3 linked regions of the Mus musculus genome follow. The protein of the gene in region 2 binds, or shares a complex with, the protein of the main gene of each other region. Links are inferred from orthologs where the notes say so. Each region holds a gene or a part of one and is shown on either strand. Other genes may lie near its edges. The genes, in order: Gtf2h5, Gtf2f1 and Polr2h.

Evidence for each region.
Region 1: Gtf2f1 (region 2) and Gtf2h5 share a complex: the UniProt entries of both Homo sapiens proteins name them as parts of the TBP-based Pol II pre-initiation complex. The link is inferred for Mus musculus from reciprocal best matches to the Homo sapiens genes GTF2F1 and GTF2H5.
Region 3: Gtf2f1 (region 2) and Polr2h share a complex: the UniProt entries of both Homo sapiens proteins name them as parts of the TBP-based Pol II pre-initiation complex. The link is inferred for Mus musculus from reciprocal best matches to the Homo sapiens genes GTF2F1 and POLR2H.

The regions. Positions count from the first base shown.
Region 1 is NC_000083.6:6,078,433-6,082,627, reverse strand, and holds the start of Gtf2h5 (general transcription factor IIH subunit 5), read right to left. Parts: upstream 2,801-4,195; 5' UTR 2,717-2,800; intron 2,711-2,716; exon of another isoform or gene 2,032-2,710; intron 1,827-2,031; 5' UTR 1,789-1,826; coding exon 1,754-1,788; intron 1-1,753. UniProt on the Homo sapiens protein: Component of the general transcription and DNA repair factor IIH (TFIIH) core complex, which is involved in general and transcription-coupled nucleotide excision repair (NER) of damaged DNA and, when complexed to CAK, in RNA transcription by RNA polymerase II.
Region 2 is NC_000083.6:57,002,167-57,006,624, forward strand, and holds the end of Gtf2f1 (general transcription factor IIF subunit 1), read right to left. Parts: intron 3,379-4,458; coding exon 3,194-3,378; intron 2,654-3,193; coding exon 2,500-2,653; intron 2,407-2,499; coding exon 2,345-2,406; intron 2,263-2,344; coding exon 2,143-2,262; intron 2,030-2,142; coding exon 1,956-2,029; intron 1,888-1,955; coding exon 1,749-1,887; intron 1,646-1,748; coding exon 1,555-1,645; intron 1,466-1,554; coding exon 1,261-1,465; 3' UTR 1,236-1,260; downstream 1-1,235. UniProt on the Homo sapiens protein: TFIIF is a general transcription initiation factor that binds to RNA polymerase II and helps to recruit it to the initiation complex in collaboration with TFIIB. It promotes transcription elongation.
Region 3 is NC_000082.6:20,715,682-20,721,466, reverse strand, and holds the start of Polr2h (DNA-directed RNA polymerases I, II, and III subunit RPABC3), read right to left. Parts: upstream 3,642-5,785; 5' UTR 3,546-3,641; coding exon 3,473-3,545; intron 3,409-3,472; exon of another isoform or gene 3,353-3,408; coding exon of another isoform or gene 3,301-3,352; intron 3,291-3,300; exon of another isoform or gene 2,798-3,290; intron 2,644-2,797; coding exon 2,560-2,643; intron 2,477-2,559; coding exon 2,383-2,476; intron 949-2,382; coding exon 865-948; intron 1-864. Other genes in the region: Clcn2 (chloride channel protein 2), read left to right, coding at 5,472-5,558. UniProt on the Homo sapiens protein: DNA-dependent RNA polymerase catalyzes the transcription of DNA into RNA using the four ribonucleoside triphosphates as substrates.

The sequences.
Region 1 (4,195 bases), about 51 Mb from region 2:
AAACTAACTTTACCCTCACTGCTTGGGATTAAAGGTGTGTGCTAAGGGCCTGTCTCTATTCCAGCCAGGGTAGCCATACTGCTGGATTAAAATGCCTCTACAATCAGCCCTTTTAAATTCATGAACTATTTCCCGATTTACAGTCCCTCCAACCTCAACTAGTGTTGGTTTTTGTTTGCTTTTTCCTCCTCCTCCTCCTCCTCCTGTGCTGTTTTGTGTTTTGTTTTTCTTTTTAATTTTTTGAACAACATTGAAAAATGGAATTGATGGTATATAGTCAGTTTTACTAACCAAAGCTTTATTTGAAAACTTTTGTACAAATTATATGCTTAAATACTTTAAGTCACTTTATAAGTAAAATGCATAGCACTTAATTTGTTTATACTGTAAAATATATGTTAAATGGTTTTATCAATTTGAGAATAAAGATAGTTACAAAACAAAACAAAACAAAACAAAACTGACTTTGTTGAAATCTCTATCTTCCTGTTTTATCCTATGGTAGCTCACTAGTCACAGAACATTTGATACTATGTAAAAGTAAGATACTAGACTTGAAGGGTTTTTTTGAGACTTAATACATGGGAAAAGAGAGCTGGCTCAGAGGGTAAGAGCACTTGTTGCTCTTGCAGAGGACCCAGGTTCAGTTCCCAGCCCAGTGGCTCACAACTTGTTCCCAACCCAAGGTCCTGGCAATCCAATGCCGTCTTCTGATATCCTTAGGCAAATACTCATACACAGAAAATAAAATTACTCACAGCCTACCTGATTCATTTCACTCTTTGATGTAGTTACTAGAAAATTTAATTTATGTGGCTTATACTGTATTTCCACTGGACAGTGCTGCTCCAAATGTTACAGGTATCCTAGGGTTTGACCCTGCTGTCCCCTCAGCTTTGCCATCACAGTAAAAGCACCACTACCTAAACAATGACTCATAATAGGCAAACAGAAAGGAGACAGTATTTTTAATAAAGGGGAGTCCAGAGAACAGGGCTTCCTACCAACAAAGCGAAAGCTTTGAGTTCGAGTTTTAAAAGTCAGAGACAGCAAAGACCTGTATTTTAGGTTACTTTGAAGAATTCAACTCTAAAAATGGTTTCTCCTTTGGAGAAACTCCTAAGTTAAGCCTGTTGCATTTGGCTCTCATTTCCTTTCAAGAAAGGCATGCTGTAGTGGCAAAGATTTAACCAAGTTCATGTATTGCTTTATTCTTTTCATTTTTTGAGGCAAGGTTTCATTATACAGCCTTGGGGGGTGGGTAGGAAGCAGGATCTGAAACTTACCATGTAGAGCAGGATGACTTTGATCAGCTAAGAGATCCACCTGCTGGGACAAAGGCCCACCCCAGGAGCCTGGCCCAAGAGCCTGGCCCAAGCCAAGCGCCTGCATTCTTCCAAAGCTTAATCTAGCCAAGAGCTGATGGTTTTAGATAGTGACACTGTTTCTCTAAACAAGGCTAATCTAACACACAAGCTTCCCATTAAAAAAAAAATCACTGGAAGTAAAGCTAATTACATTCACTTAACAGAGACAATAAAATGTAATATCAGCAAGAAACCTAGCAGCAAATCCTGTCCCACTTATAAGGAAAGCTTATGGAAATTCAAAGTTGAAGCCTGGATTTCATTTATATCAACAAAACAAAATTTTGGAAAAGACATACACACACACACACTATTGAGGCATAGTGAATATACATAACAAGACTCGATGTGTAAATTTAAAATCATGAATTGTTAAAGCTACGAACCATTCTATAAGCACCCCTTTCAGCACGTTGACCATCTTTTCCCAGGCAGACGGTGCAGATGACTTCAAGAATTCTAAAATAAATAAATACAATTTAAAAGGGATGAAGTGACATAAAATCCAAATGTTTAAACCCACTTTGGGGATTTACATCTGAGATGAAACAAAAAACTAAATGTCAGCATTAAAAAGCTAACATTGAGGCATCCAGATATTCCTGTTCTTACCAGTGCTAAAGCAGAATATTTGCAATATTAATAAAGCATAAATCCTACTTACAAATTCTAATTAATCTTTTAAAAAGTAAGCTCCAAACACGGCAGGGTGGTTCAGGCTTTCAATCCCAGCACTCAGGAGGGAGGAAGGGGCTGGCAGGGCTCTTTAGTTTTGGACCAGCCTAGACTACATAGTGAGCCACAAACTTTAAAAACAAAAAAACAAACAACAAAAAAAACCCAAAACCAAAACTCCTCAAAAATTAACGGGCCCAACACAGTGTAAAATAGATTCATTATTCAACTGTTTTCTTTTTTATCCAAGAGAACGATACACTGAAAAGATTCTGGGAGGCAGAAACTACAAAATGGTAGTTCCGAAAGAGCCTCAAAATTACAGTGACCCACCGCCTGATTATACTGATGAGACCGAGTACCTGGACAAAGCAGGTAATTTAAATTTACAAACACCTAGGTCTCCAGATCTTGTGTTCTTTTGATTAATAAACTACGTCCTCTAAGGATCTGCATTGGCAATCGCCTGCGTGACAGCCACCAGTGTCTACACGCAGGCATGGGCAGCTACCTTCCCCACAGAAAACCGCGATGCAATGCGTGATGGCCGCGCGGACCCACAACACAGGCCTTAGAAAGGGTGCGGGACTTCGGCCCGCCCACAGGACCGAAGGCTCTGTGTCTTTCCTCTTCCCCGCCTTATCTCCGAGGCAGCCGAGCCCCACGCAACCTACCTTTTTCTAGGCGCGCAGAGGCAGCAGCGTTCCAACTCCAACAAACCAGAGCTGGCCCGGCGTCGCCGACTCACTGCGCCTGCGCCGTACGTCATCGCGCCTGCGACACCCTAGTAGGTGGGGCGACTCTCTGGGGCGGGCCCTAAGGGCGGGGTCAAGCCCTCAGAGGCGGGGTCACGTGCTCACTGCCGCTGGGTTAGGGCGCAGGTTACTAGTGGTGGCGGAGGGTGAGCTCTGTAGCCGGCGGAGTCCACCGCGAGCCGTCCGGGCTGCCAGAGTCATTGCGCCGGCAGGTAGGACGGGCGAACGGACAGAAGGACGGACGGAAGGGAGGGAGGGCAAGGGCGTCGCCGCAGCCCCAGGAGAGGAGGGCGGTAGTCCTGCACAGACACTAAGGTCGCGCGGTCTCGGAGGGACCCGATGACTCGCCGCGGCACCACGGATTTTTGTCTTTTTCTTGATTGGTCACTGCGCCGCGCTGGTTGCCCCTGAGGCTTGGAGGAGAGCACCTGCATGGAAGGTGCACTGTCCTGGGCTCTGTGTTCTCATAAGCCACACCTGAGTCGGACACATCTTGCTCTTCTCCGACCTGGGAGATTGAATAGTTGGAATGCTGATAGGTTTTCTAATCCCAGTAACCGTCATTTTAAGCTGAAGGCCTCCGGAAAGTTCTGAAGTTAATCCTATTCCCAAATTCTGATCTGTAGTCTTAATGGAGCTGAGTTCTCAGCAGTTGAGACAGGAGGTAGTTTTAGCTTCTTGATCCTTAGGTTAAATTGTATTTCCACATTTAAGCTCATGCTGATATTTGCTTTACACGTCTCATCTTCCTTTAGCCAGTTTCACCCTTCCACCTGTTTCCCTCACAGCTCCTCAAACTTCTCTTTTAAAGAATGTATTTATTACATATATGTATGCATGTATGTATGTACGTGGGTCGGGTGTGTGATGTGTGTTCACCAATGCAGGAACGGTCAGAGGACAGTTGGAAGGAGCCCATTCTCTTCCTGCATGTGAATCCCTGGGCTGGAACTCTGTCCATCAGGCTCTGCACAAGAGTGCCGTGTTTGCTGAGCCATCTTACCATCCCTGGGCCCTCTTGTTAGTTCATTCCCACATCTACTGTACCCCGCTCCTTTTTTATTGTTGCCGTTGCTTATTTATTTTTGTAGAAACGCTGATTTTTTTCATTCTTCTTTCACGTAATTTAAGAGGCTTCAGACCTCTTTACCATAGTTAGTGGTACCTAAAGGGCCAGTCACTTCAGAACAATCTGCCTGTGACCTGAAGTGTCCACAAAGGGTACAAGCGTTTAAATTTCACAATGCATTAGACAAGCAGAAGTGAGGTCTAAGTACCATTTTACCCAGGAGATTAAAATATTTGGAAATGCAGGCAGCACTAGTCATTATTAAAATATAGACGGAGGGAGTAGTTTTGTTTGCCTGCACTAAGTGAGCACAGTTATACTCAAATGAG
Region 2 (4,458 bases):
TGGGCAGAAAGGCTGTGTCTTATAAGAATGGAAGCTCACCCGGGCGTGGTGGCACATGCCTTTAATCCCAGCACTTGGGAGGCAGAGGCAGGCAGATTTCTGAGTTCAAGGCCAGCCTGGTCCACAGAGTGAGTTCCAGGACAGCCAGGGCTACACAGAGAAACCCTGTCTCAAAAAACTTAAAAAAAAAAAAAAAAAAAAAAAAAAAAGAATGGAGGCTCAGAAGGGTGGAGTATCAGGAACTGGAGATGTGAGAGAGGTACAGAGGGTCAGGAAATCAAACAAAAATATGTAGCAGGAGGATGAGGAACTGGGGATAGCTGCTGGAGGGCCCAGGACCCAACCAGGATGACTTCAGCCGAAATGCTCAGAGGAGATAGAACTTGTTGAAATCACCTCCAGTAGATAGGTCCAGCCCCTGGTTGAGGGATGGGGACGGACACACACACACACCATCTCAAAGTTTTTAACCCAGAAACATTCCTGCCCAAAGGAAGAACAGGGACAAAAAATAGCACAGAGACTAAAGTAAGGGCTAACTGGGGACTGCCTCACCTGGGGATCCATCATGTCTACAGACACCAAACCCAACAGTTCCCATGGTCAAGAGGAGCTTGCTGACAGGAACCTAGTGTGGCGGTTCCTTGGGAGGTCCTGTCAGCAACTGACTAATGCTGAGGCAGATGCTTGGAGCCAACCATCAGGCAGAACTCAGGGAACCTGGTGGGGGAGCTTGCAGAAGGACTGGAGGGGATTGCAACCCCATTGGAAGAACAACATAGGATGGCCTGACCACCCAGTTCTTCCATAGTTTAGACCACTAGCCAAGGAGTGTACCTGGAGGGATCCATGGCTCCAGATACAAATGTAGGAAGATGGCCTTGCCTGACAGCAATGGGAGGGGTGTCTCTTTGTCCCAGGGAGGTTTGATGCCCCAGAGTAGGAGGATGCTGGAGCAGTGGGAGAGTGTGGGAGCACTCTCATACAGGCAAAGGAGAGGAGGGAGGACGGGATGTGGGATGGGGGTTGGTGGAGGGCGTAACCAGGAAGTGGGATATCATTTGAGATGTAAACAAATGGAATGATTAATACATATATGATGCATTAAAGAAAGAAAAGAAGGAAGGAGGGAGGGAGGGAGGGAGGGGGAGAGATTGAGAAACAATGGAAGAATGGAGGCCCAGATGCCTCAGGGCTCCAGGGCGGCAGGGGTGGCAGTGATGACTCGCACACACTCTGGGCCTGCTCTCTTTATTGGCATCACTCTTTGAGGGAGAAGTGCATCTTATCACCAATCATCTTGCGCTCAGGGTTGAGGCGCTTGAGGATCTGCGCCAGCACATTTACTGTCTGCTCGCTGCTCAGCCCTGTCTTCTTGGTCTGGAACTTCTTCAGCAGGTCCTTTGTGGTCATGGGCTTGCGGGTCAGGTAGCGGCGCACAGCGTCCTCTGTCACCTGGACATCACTGTGGGAGGGGAAGGGAGGGAGGCTGGAGTCATACAAGAGTCCCTTTAGCCCAATCCCACCTATGGTCCTGCTCCTGTCTGAACGTACCCGCTGCTGGGTGTGGACTTCCCAGACAGGCTCTGGGGACCCGTGTCCATCCGAAGACGCTTGGCTGCTGGAGTCTCACTCGTCCGCTTCCCTGGTGGAGAGAGTAATGTCACGTCCAGGCAGGGCCCAGATCGGGGACAACAGGTGGCTGCCAGCAGCTCTTTCTCCAGTGACAGGCTTTTCTGGGCACTCACCCTGCTCCAGCTTGCTGGCTGCAGCCCGCAGGGTAGAAGAGGTGCTTGCTGCTTCTGCACTGGGAGTCCCTGGCCGACTGGTGCCCTTTGAACTCCCCCCCGATGGCTTCCGCTCCCTCTTTGGGGGTGTCTTCTTCTTCTGCAGAGATTAGGGTATGAGTGTGAAGGCTCAGACTGGCCCTACTCAAGCCCCCAGCTCTGACTTACCGCCATGAAGAGTGCAGAGGAGGTCTCACTGTCAATGTCGCTCTCTTCTGAGCTGTCTGAGTCATCACTGCTGTCTGCACAGGGCAGATAAGGACCATAAGCAGAGACCCCAGACAGAGCCTACCCATCAGCACCCATGAGCAGGGAGGGCCAAAGGACCAGGAGTATACTGGCCATCATCGCCCACCTTTCCTGCGCTTCTTCTCTTGTGGGGTAGGGGCCTTCTTCTCTTCTTCCTCCTCCTTGTCCTCCTCGGGGGGCTTCTCCTCCTCACTCTCCTCACTGCTCTCGCTCTGCTCATCCACCCCTGGGACACAGGTCACATGGGTGAGCAGTGGCAACTTCTGAGCGCACTCCCACCCACTGGTTGGTCCCTAACTGGCACCTACCCTTTGGGCCATCCTCCTGCTGGGGCACTTTGGGCTTGCCTTCTGTCTCATCTGGAGAGCTGCTATAGGGCAGAGAAAGGCAAGCCGTAAAGTTGGGCGGCCACAGGCCTGGCCTGCCTTGCCCCTGCCTCATCTCTGCCTTGCCTGTGCCTTACCTGGAGCCATCAGACATGTAGTCTACCTCCTGGCCCTCGAAGTCCCCATCATCGCTGTCCTCAAAAGCCTCATCATCTGAGCCCTTCTTCTTTTTCTTCTTCCTGCCTGCCTTGGTCACAGGGGCCTTTTTCTTAGCCTTGGAGGTTCTGCTGCCTGTGAGAGGAAGACACAGGAGCTCAGACTGGATGAGCACAGATCTCTGCTCTCTGCTGGGCAGGGGCTCCAGCCGCTCTCACTGGGGACTCTAAGCAGGGGCTCCACCCAAGCCACGCCCCCAGCCGCTCTCACTGGGGATTCTAGGCAGGGGCTATACCCATGAGCAGCAATTCCATCTAGCCAGGAAATCCTGACAGCTGATGCCACATGCATCACTGTACTCAAGCAGTGACAGGAAAGACACAGGTCACATAGCATCTAAAGCCTTTATAAAAAGTATCTGAGCCAGGCAGTGGTAGCGCAGGCCTTTAATCCCAGCACTTGAGAGGCAGAGGCAGGTGGATTTCTGAGTTCGAGGACAGCCTGGTCTACAAAGTGAGTTCCAGGACAGCCAGGGCTACACAGAGAAACCCTGTCTCGAAAAACAAAACAAAAAAATAGTATCTGAGCAGGCAGCTCTACAGGGACACATTGCTGCTTCCCAGGTGGTGGTAACTCACCTGGTCTCTGAACTAAGACCTCTGGGTCCCCACTTACCCTCTTCACCACTGGCATCGCTGGCATCGGAGGACATTTCCAGGTCATCCTCCAGGTCATGAATGCGCAGCTCACTAGGCTTCTTGCGACTGCGCTTCTCCTTCTCCTCCTCATCTTCATCCTGGTCCTGGTCCTTGAGCCGCCGCTGCTGCATGATGCTGAAGTGGTTTAGGACCTTGTTCCTCCTGCATGGGAACAAGTGACTATGTACTTTGTGTAGCAGAGGATGGTGGGGAGTAGGGGACTGCAAAGAGCTCCTTGGGCAAAGAGGATGGTAGAAGATAATGACCGATACACTCAAATGGGCATCCCTTCTTTACAGGACAAATGGGCATGACAGGATAACCTCATTAAGGCACAAACACTGTAAAGGAGGCTAAGGCAGGGTAGTTAGCCTGAGCCACACCACATGCAACAGAAAGAGAAAGAGGCAGGGCATACAGCCTGGGCCATTTCAAACCCCCAAATCTTGAAACAATATAGGGTGAGCCCTGAGATGGACTCAGGCCCATGTGCACCTAAGCCCCCTGGAGACCCCAAATCTTAGCTCCTCCAAACTCAGGGTCTGTTCCAGGCATATCCAGCCATTATATTGGTTAGCTAAATAACATTTTATGGCTTTGGAGGTGGTGGGTTGTTCGGTTGTTTTTGGTTTTTGGTTTTGTTTTCTTGGTGAAACAGGATCTCTCTCTATTGTCCTAGCTGTCTTGGAACTCACTATGAAAACCAGGCTGGCCTTGAACTCACAGAGATTCTCATGCCACTGCATCCTAGAGTGCTGGGGTAAAGGTGTGCACCACCAGGCTTGGCCCAGTTAAAATTCCTTTTAAAACAGGATCTCATTGTGTGATCTTAGCTGGTCTGTAACTTGGAATATAAACCACCCCTCAAACTCAGAGATCCTGTTGCCTGTGCACCAAAGTGCTGAGATTAAGGGTGTGTACTACTGTGTCTGTCAAGTTTTGGGGTGTTTTGAAACCAAATCTCATATAACCACAGCTGGCTTCAAACTTAATACAGAAGATGGACCTGAATGCCTGGTCCTTGTTGCTTCTGCCATCTGTGTGGTAATGTGTGCATACACTACCCCCACCCACACCCCCCACTGTTAATTTATCTCAAGGATTACTTAGAGAAGGGGCAGGGTCTCACTGGACAAGGAGCCGTCCATGAACCACACCTATGCATGCCCGGAAGAAGACTACGCATAGTGGGAGGAGGAGCTGCTTTTGACATTGCAGTCCCGGCCCCTTGAGAACTGGTCC
Region 3 (5,785 bases), on a different chromosome or scaffold from region 2:
AGCAGCAGGAGGCAATAAAGTGGATCTCCTGAGTCCAAAGGCAGCCTGGGTCAGTCCCAGTCCAGGCTACCTTGTCTCAAAAAAAAAAAAAAAGTTTGGGGAGCTTTCAACTAATAAGAAAAATATTGTAAAGGGTCTTAAAGAGAAAAGTAAACACTTAAAAAAAAACTATTTAAACTCTTTGTTTGTTTCTGTTTTTAAAATAACAGGGTCTCACTATGTAACCCTGGCTGGCCTGGAACTCACTCTGTAGACCAGGCTGGCCTGGAATGCACAGAAATCCACCTGCCTCTGTCTCTCCAATGCTGAATTACAGATATCTGCCACCACAGCAGCTACTCAAACTCTTTATCTAAAAGATTCCCTAGGTGACTATTGTTCTTCTTCTCATTTTGTTCTTTTTCTGTGCTTCAAGTTTCTGACAACCACACTTTTTAAACATCATTTTAAAGAAAAGGGGAAAAAAAATTCAGGCAGGGAAACCAAAGATCCAAGGGTTGGGCTACAGAGAAGCAATACATACTTAACCAAAACAAACAAACAAACAAACAAACAAACAAACAAAAAAGGCCTGATTATGCATAGTGCACGTGTTCTCCAGCAAGATGCTCTGTTGTCCTTCACAAAGCAAGATAGCTCGTGCCTCCTCTGGACTACAGGGTCTTGAAAACCCTGACTATGGTGCCGCTGAGTGACCCACATACAGGCTGGAAACTGTTCCCAAGACAAATTCTTCCACCTAGGTTTGGAATACTAGAAACAAAGGGGGGTGGGGGTGGGGAGAGGGCGGCAACACAGAAGTAAAAGCCTGGCCCAACCTCAGAGCAGGGAGGGAAAAGACTTTTCCTAGACAGTGTTACTTACAGGCGTGTGGCTGCTTCAGTGGAGGTCTCATCCCCTTCGATCCTGTACACTTTCCCATACATGACATACTCAAACTGGTCAGCCCTACAAACAACAGACTGGTCACTCTTCATAGTAAGAGTCTACGGGAACTTTAGAAATGGAGACTGATGAGGTACACATGCAGAACCATGACCTTCCTTGGCCCCCACAGAAATTCTGTGAGGTACACATGACCATCTGTATTTCATTGATGAGGAGACAGAAGGCTTTGAACTGAAAACTCAGGTTGAGTCGTGGCCTTTTAGCCCTATTCCAACTGGCCTCAAACTCACAGTCAGACAGACTTGTGCTTCTGTTTCCCAAGTGCAGGGACTAAGGGTGCTGGTCACCAGACCTACTACTCCATAGTCTTTCTATCACACCAAGCTCCCTCACAAGACCTAAGTTACTATGTAATCCTTTCCTCAGCCTTAAAGACCTAACCCTGAACCAAAGGCGGCACATAACCTTAATTCCAGCACTGAGGCAGAGGAGGTAGATGTGACTCTAAGTGCAAGGCCAGCCTGATCTACAGACCAGGTCAACCAGGTCTCTACAAAGTGAGAAGACCCTGTCCCACATAAATAAATAGATGCAATTCACAAGCTTATGATCACTGCTCTCAGTAATGAATAAAACTAGTCATCTGAATTTTTTTCAATTTTTTTAGACACAAGGTCTCATGTAGCCAAGGCTAGCCTCAGACTTGATATGAGGCCAAACATTTTCTTGAACTCGTGAACCGTCTCCTGAATCCTGGATTATAGACAAAAGCCATCACATCCAGGTCTAGTTGTCTGAATTCTTTTTTTTTGTTGTTTTTTGTTTTTTTGGTTTTTTTTTTGAGACAGGGTTTCTCTGTATAGCCCTAGCTGTCCTGGAACTCACTCTGTAGACCAGGCTGGCCTTGAACAGAAATCTGCCTGCTTCTGCCTCCCAAGTGCTTATGCTGGAATTAAAGGCGTGTGCCACCACTGCCCAGCTAGTTGTCCGAACTCTAATTGCAGCAATGCCTTTAAGGTAATTCAGATTCCACTGACAGCAATCATTTATCTCTAGAAGTAAAGACTTTCCTATATACTTACGTTTTTCTTTCTTTATAATATATACATAATATAGAACATATGTTATATAACATTATATGTAATATATAATATGTACTATATATTATATGTAATGTACAACATTATATATAATATATAAATAAATTATATATTATATTACTTCATTACATTCTCATCATAGTTACTTATATATAGTATTAACATATGTTATTATATACTATAACATACATGTTATATATTATATCTAATATATAACATTATATAACTTATGTTATACATTGTCATGTAATGTGCATAGTATATAATACATATTGTATCCAAGAAATCAAATTTTCTATAACATATAGTTATACATATGTATATCCATAATCTACATATTATACTTTCTCTGCACTATATTCTTATCTTAGTCACTTGTTTACTGCTACCTCACCTGGAAGGCCTGTCATCTGTGGGGTTGTATTCACCATCATCCAAGGTACCATCTTCATACAAAGTACTAGCTATAACCAACCGGAACTTGTCACCTGAATAGAGCAGCAACATCAGGGTAAAGAAGTAGACACCTAAGACCAAAATCCTCTTGCCATTGCCCGTATTCAATACTTACCTAAGTCCACAGGGTAAATCTGAATGTTTACATCTAAGATGAGGTCCATCTTGAAAGATTCACTCTCACAGTGCAGCCGGGATACTGGGGAAGAGTGCATGACAGACATGATTACAAAGTCTATCGATGCCAGCTTGGGGTCAAATGCAAGAGATCAAATCATCTAACATGCACACACCCACCAGCCTCCCACAACTGCAATCAGAATCAGATTCACAAGAGGGAAGAAGGCAGTAACCTCAGCAAGTGACAGGGTCCCAAGCAAGCGGCAAAGCTCCTCCAGCAGTGGCCAGTCTCCAGGCTCTAACTAAAAACGCCTGGATGATTTAGACTAGAGTCTCACTGGTCCTGAGACTTCCTCTTTCTAGCAGGAGACACTGCTGAGGGAATCTGAGGGATGTATTCAAAACTGACATCTGTCTTAAGACATTTGCCTCCAGGCTAAGCGACACCAAGAAGAAACAACTTCCGGATCGTTGGGAAAATAAATACACCAAGCGGTCAACTGAATGAAATTCAGAGAGCTTCGGAAAGAGCTAACTTGTTCTTAGGCTAATACAAAATTATTGGTTAGGAAGGCAGGTAGGTAACTCGCTGCAAGACCTGGGGTAACAAAAGAGATAAGGCACCATCTACTTTTTCCAAGAATAAAGTTCAGAGCACGGTAGAGCACATAATAACTGTGTAGGGAGTTAGAAAGGTTCCCAGGGGTATGCCAGCACCCAGCTAAGGGCCACCCACCGGGCACCAGGCACCGCAAATATAATAGAAAAAGCTGTCTCAAGTTTCTCATTCACGAAAAAAAAAAAAAAACTGTTTCCTGAGGGAGGTACCGAGAGGGTGGGGCGGGCCAGCCACTTGGGGTGGGTGGGCATGTTGGCCACTTCCCTCCTACCGCCCCGACACCGCTTACCTCGGTCAAATTTCTTGCCTTCTGGGTCGATGTCTTTCACATCGAAAATATCCTCGAACAGGATGCCCGCCATCGCGAAGGGCACGAAAGCTGCAGAGGATGTGAGCGCGCGGCCACCACTGGGGATTCGCGCACCCCCTCACGTGGAGAAAAGTAAGACAGGGCAGAGTACCGCCCCAAAAGCGGCAACGAGGCCGAGGGCGCGTGCGCACGGGCTGCAGTCACGCAGCCACTTCCGCTGCCTCCTTCTCGGGGCTTCTTCACTTCCGCCGGGAAGGGCCACCTCCGAGGTGCTCGGGCCTTGTGGGCGAGTCTCAAAACTCGGTGACTCCGTCCAAGGCGGGGACAGATTAAGTCCCACCTCCGACGGGGTACCGCGCTGCGCCCGGCTCGACGGCGCCCTCTTCAGACTGTGGATCCCAAAGCGTGGAAAGCTTGGGGGCCTAACCCAGCCAGGAACCTTGATCCTTGGCCCAGAGAAGCCCGGCCCTAGCCCTTCCCTGAAGTCCGCGTGCCGGCCGAGGGCACAGTCCGCGCTGCAGGCAGGTGGAGCAGAACCCCGCCCGCAGAGCACCAGCCCTCCAGGACCCGGTGCCCAGCCCCTCAGACTGTCACCAAGATCCCCAAAGCTGGTGCGAGCTGGCTCGGACCAGCTAGACATCACCGGAGCCGGGTGCGTCCGGTTTGGGAATTTGCCATGATGTCACTCTCGGGGAAAGGAAAGCCCGCATTGTGCCCTCCCCTGGGGCTTCACCTCCTCGCCACTCCCGTCTTCCCTTGGCCCTGCTTGGCACTAGCCTCACACTGATCCCCTAGAACACTGCCAACTGAACTTGGTACTGCCTGTCACCCCACTATACCACCCTCTTCTGGACACTGAAGTGCGCCTTTCACTGGGAGGCGACAGCTCGCAATACCTTCTTTCTAGGTGCTACCTCCTCTCATTACAGCCCCTGTGCTGGGCACCCTCTTGTTTCTTGAATGAGTCTTCATCCTGGTACTATTCTTTCTCCACAGATTTCTGGACACTGTCCTCTCCAGTGGCTCCAACCTAACGCTGCCCATCCTCTTTGTGCCCTCGACACCTTCTTCTTGTCCTTCCCAGGACCCCGAAAGACAATGTGGAGCCTCAGTAGGCCGTTTCCTCAGGGCGTCAGCAGCTACTCAAATTCCCCCTTAAGCGGTGCCTGGGAGGAGCGACCTCTGCTCCCCCCCCCCCCCACACACACACACACACCCGCCTCCCAGGAGCGGCCTCCCCCGCACCAATAGCTCCCTTCCCTCGGGCCTCACCCCTTCCCGTCCCCTCCCACCTCCACCTCCGCCCCTCTTTCCAGGCCTAGCCATTCCAGGTGCACCTTCCCGGGGGAACCCGGAGGAAAGGAAGGAGAAAGGGAGGCAAGGAGGGAGCCGGCTCTCGGGCATCCTCCCAGATGCGTCTGAGCCGCCTGAAAGTGTGAAGCAGAGGCTGCCCCTGTCCGGTCTGGCTTAGAGAGCCCGAATTAGCTTTTGTCAGTAGCCCCCTACCCCAGTTCAAGAGTCCCCACATCTCCAGCCCCTCCCGCACAACGCTGCAGCCGCGGGAGAGCCCGTCCCTTCCACGTGCCAGCAGACCCGCCCCCGCCCGGCCCCCGCACCCTCAGGGCGCTGGGTTAATCCCGGGCCTCCGTGGCGAAGGGGTGCGAGATCGTGTTTCAAGCGCCCCCTGCCGCCTCTCCGGACACCAGGAGGCGGCCCCAATGCAGACCCCGGCCGGGCAGGGACGCCCCTGCAGATGGGCCGGGGCGGAGCAGCAAAGCAGGGCACCGCCCTCGGCCCGCCCGCCGAGGAGGAGACGCTAGCGGGAGGCTGAGCCTGCGGCGCGCGCCCGGGGACCCGTCGCACTCTGCACTCGGCCGCCTGGGCTGAGGGGACGGGACGGGTGCGGGCGCGGGCTCAGCGGGCCGGGAGCTGAGTCAAGGCCGAGAAGCAGAGGGAGGCAAGAGGACAGTGCACCGAGATGGCGGCTGCAACGGCTGCGGCGGCCGCGGCGGCGGCGGCGGGGGAAGGGATGGAGCCTCGAGCGCTGCAGTACGAGCAGACCCTGGTAAGTGAAACCCAAGGGTTGCCCTACGGGACCAATGCTGCAGGTTGCCCTGGAAAGTGTGAGGACAGATGGCCTACCCTAACCCGGCCTCAGCCTTTCTCAGCTATGGAAACTGAGGTTCGGGATCCGCCAGGCTGTGGGTTCAGAGTGTTGGAAAGCTGCTTGCTGGTTTCTGGCTGAGACTGGTGGCCTGCAGAAGACAATGACACCAGGTGCTTGGCCCAGGT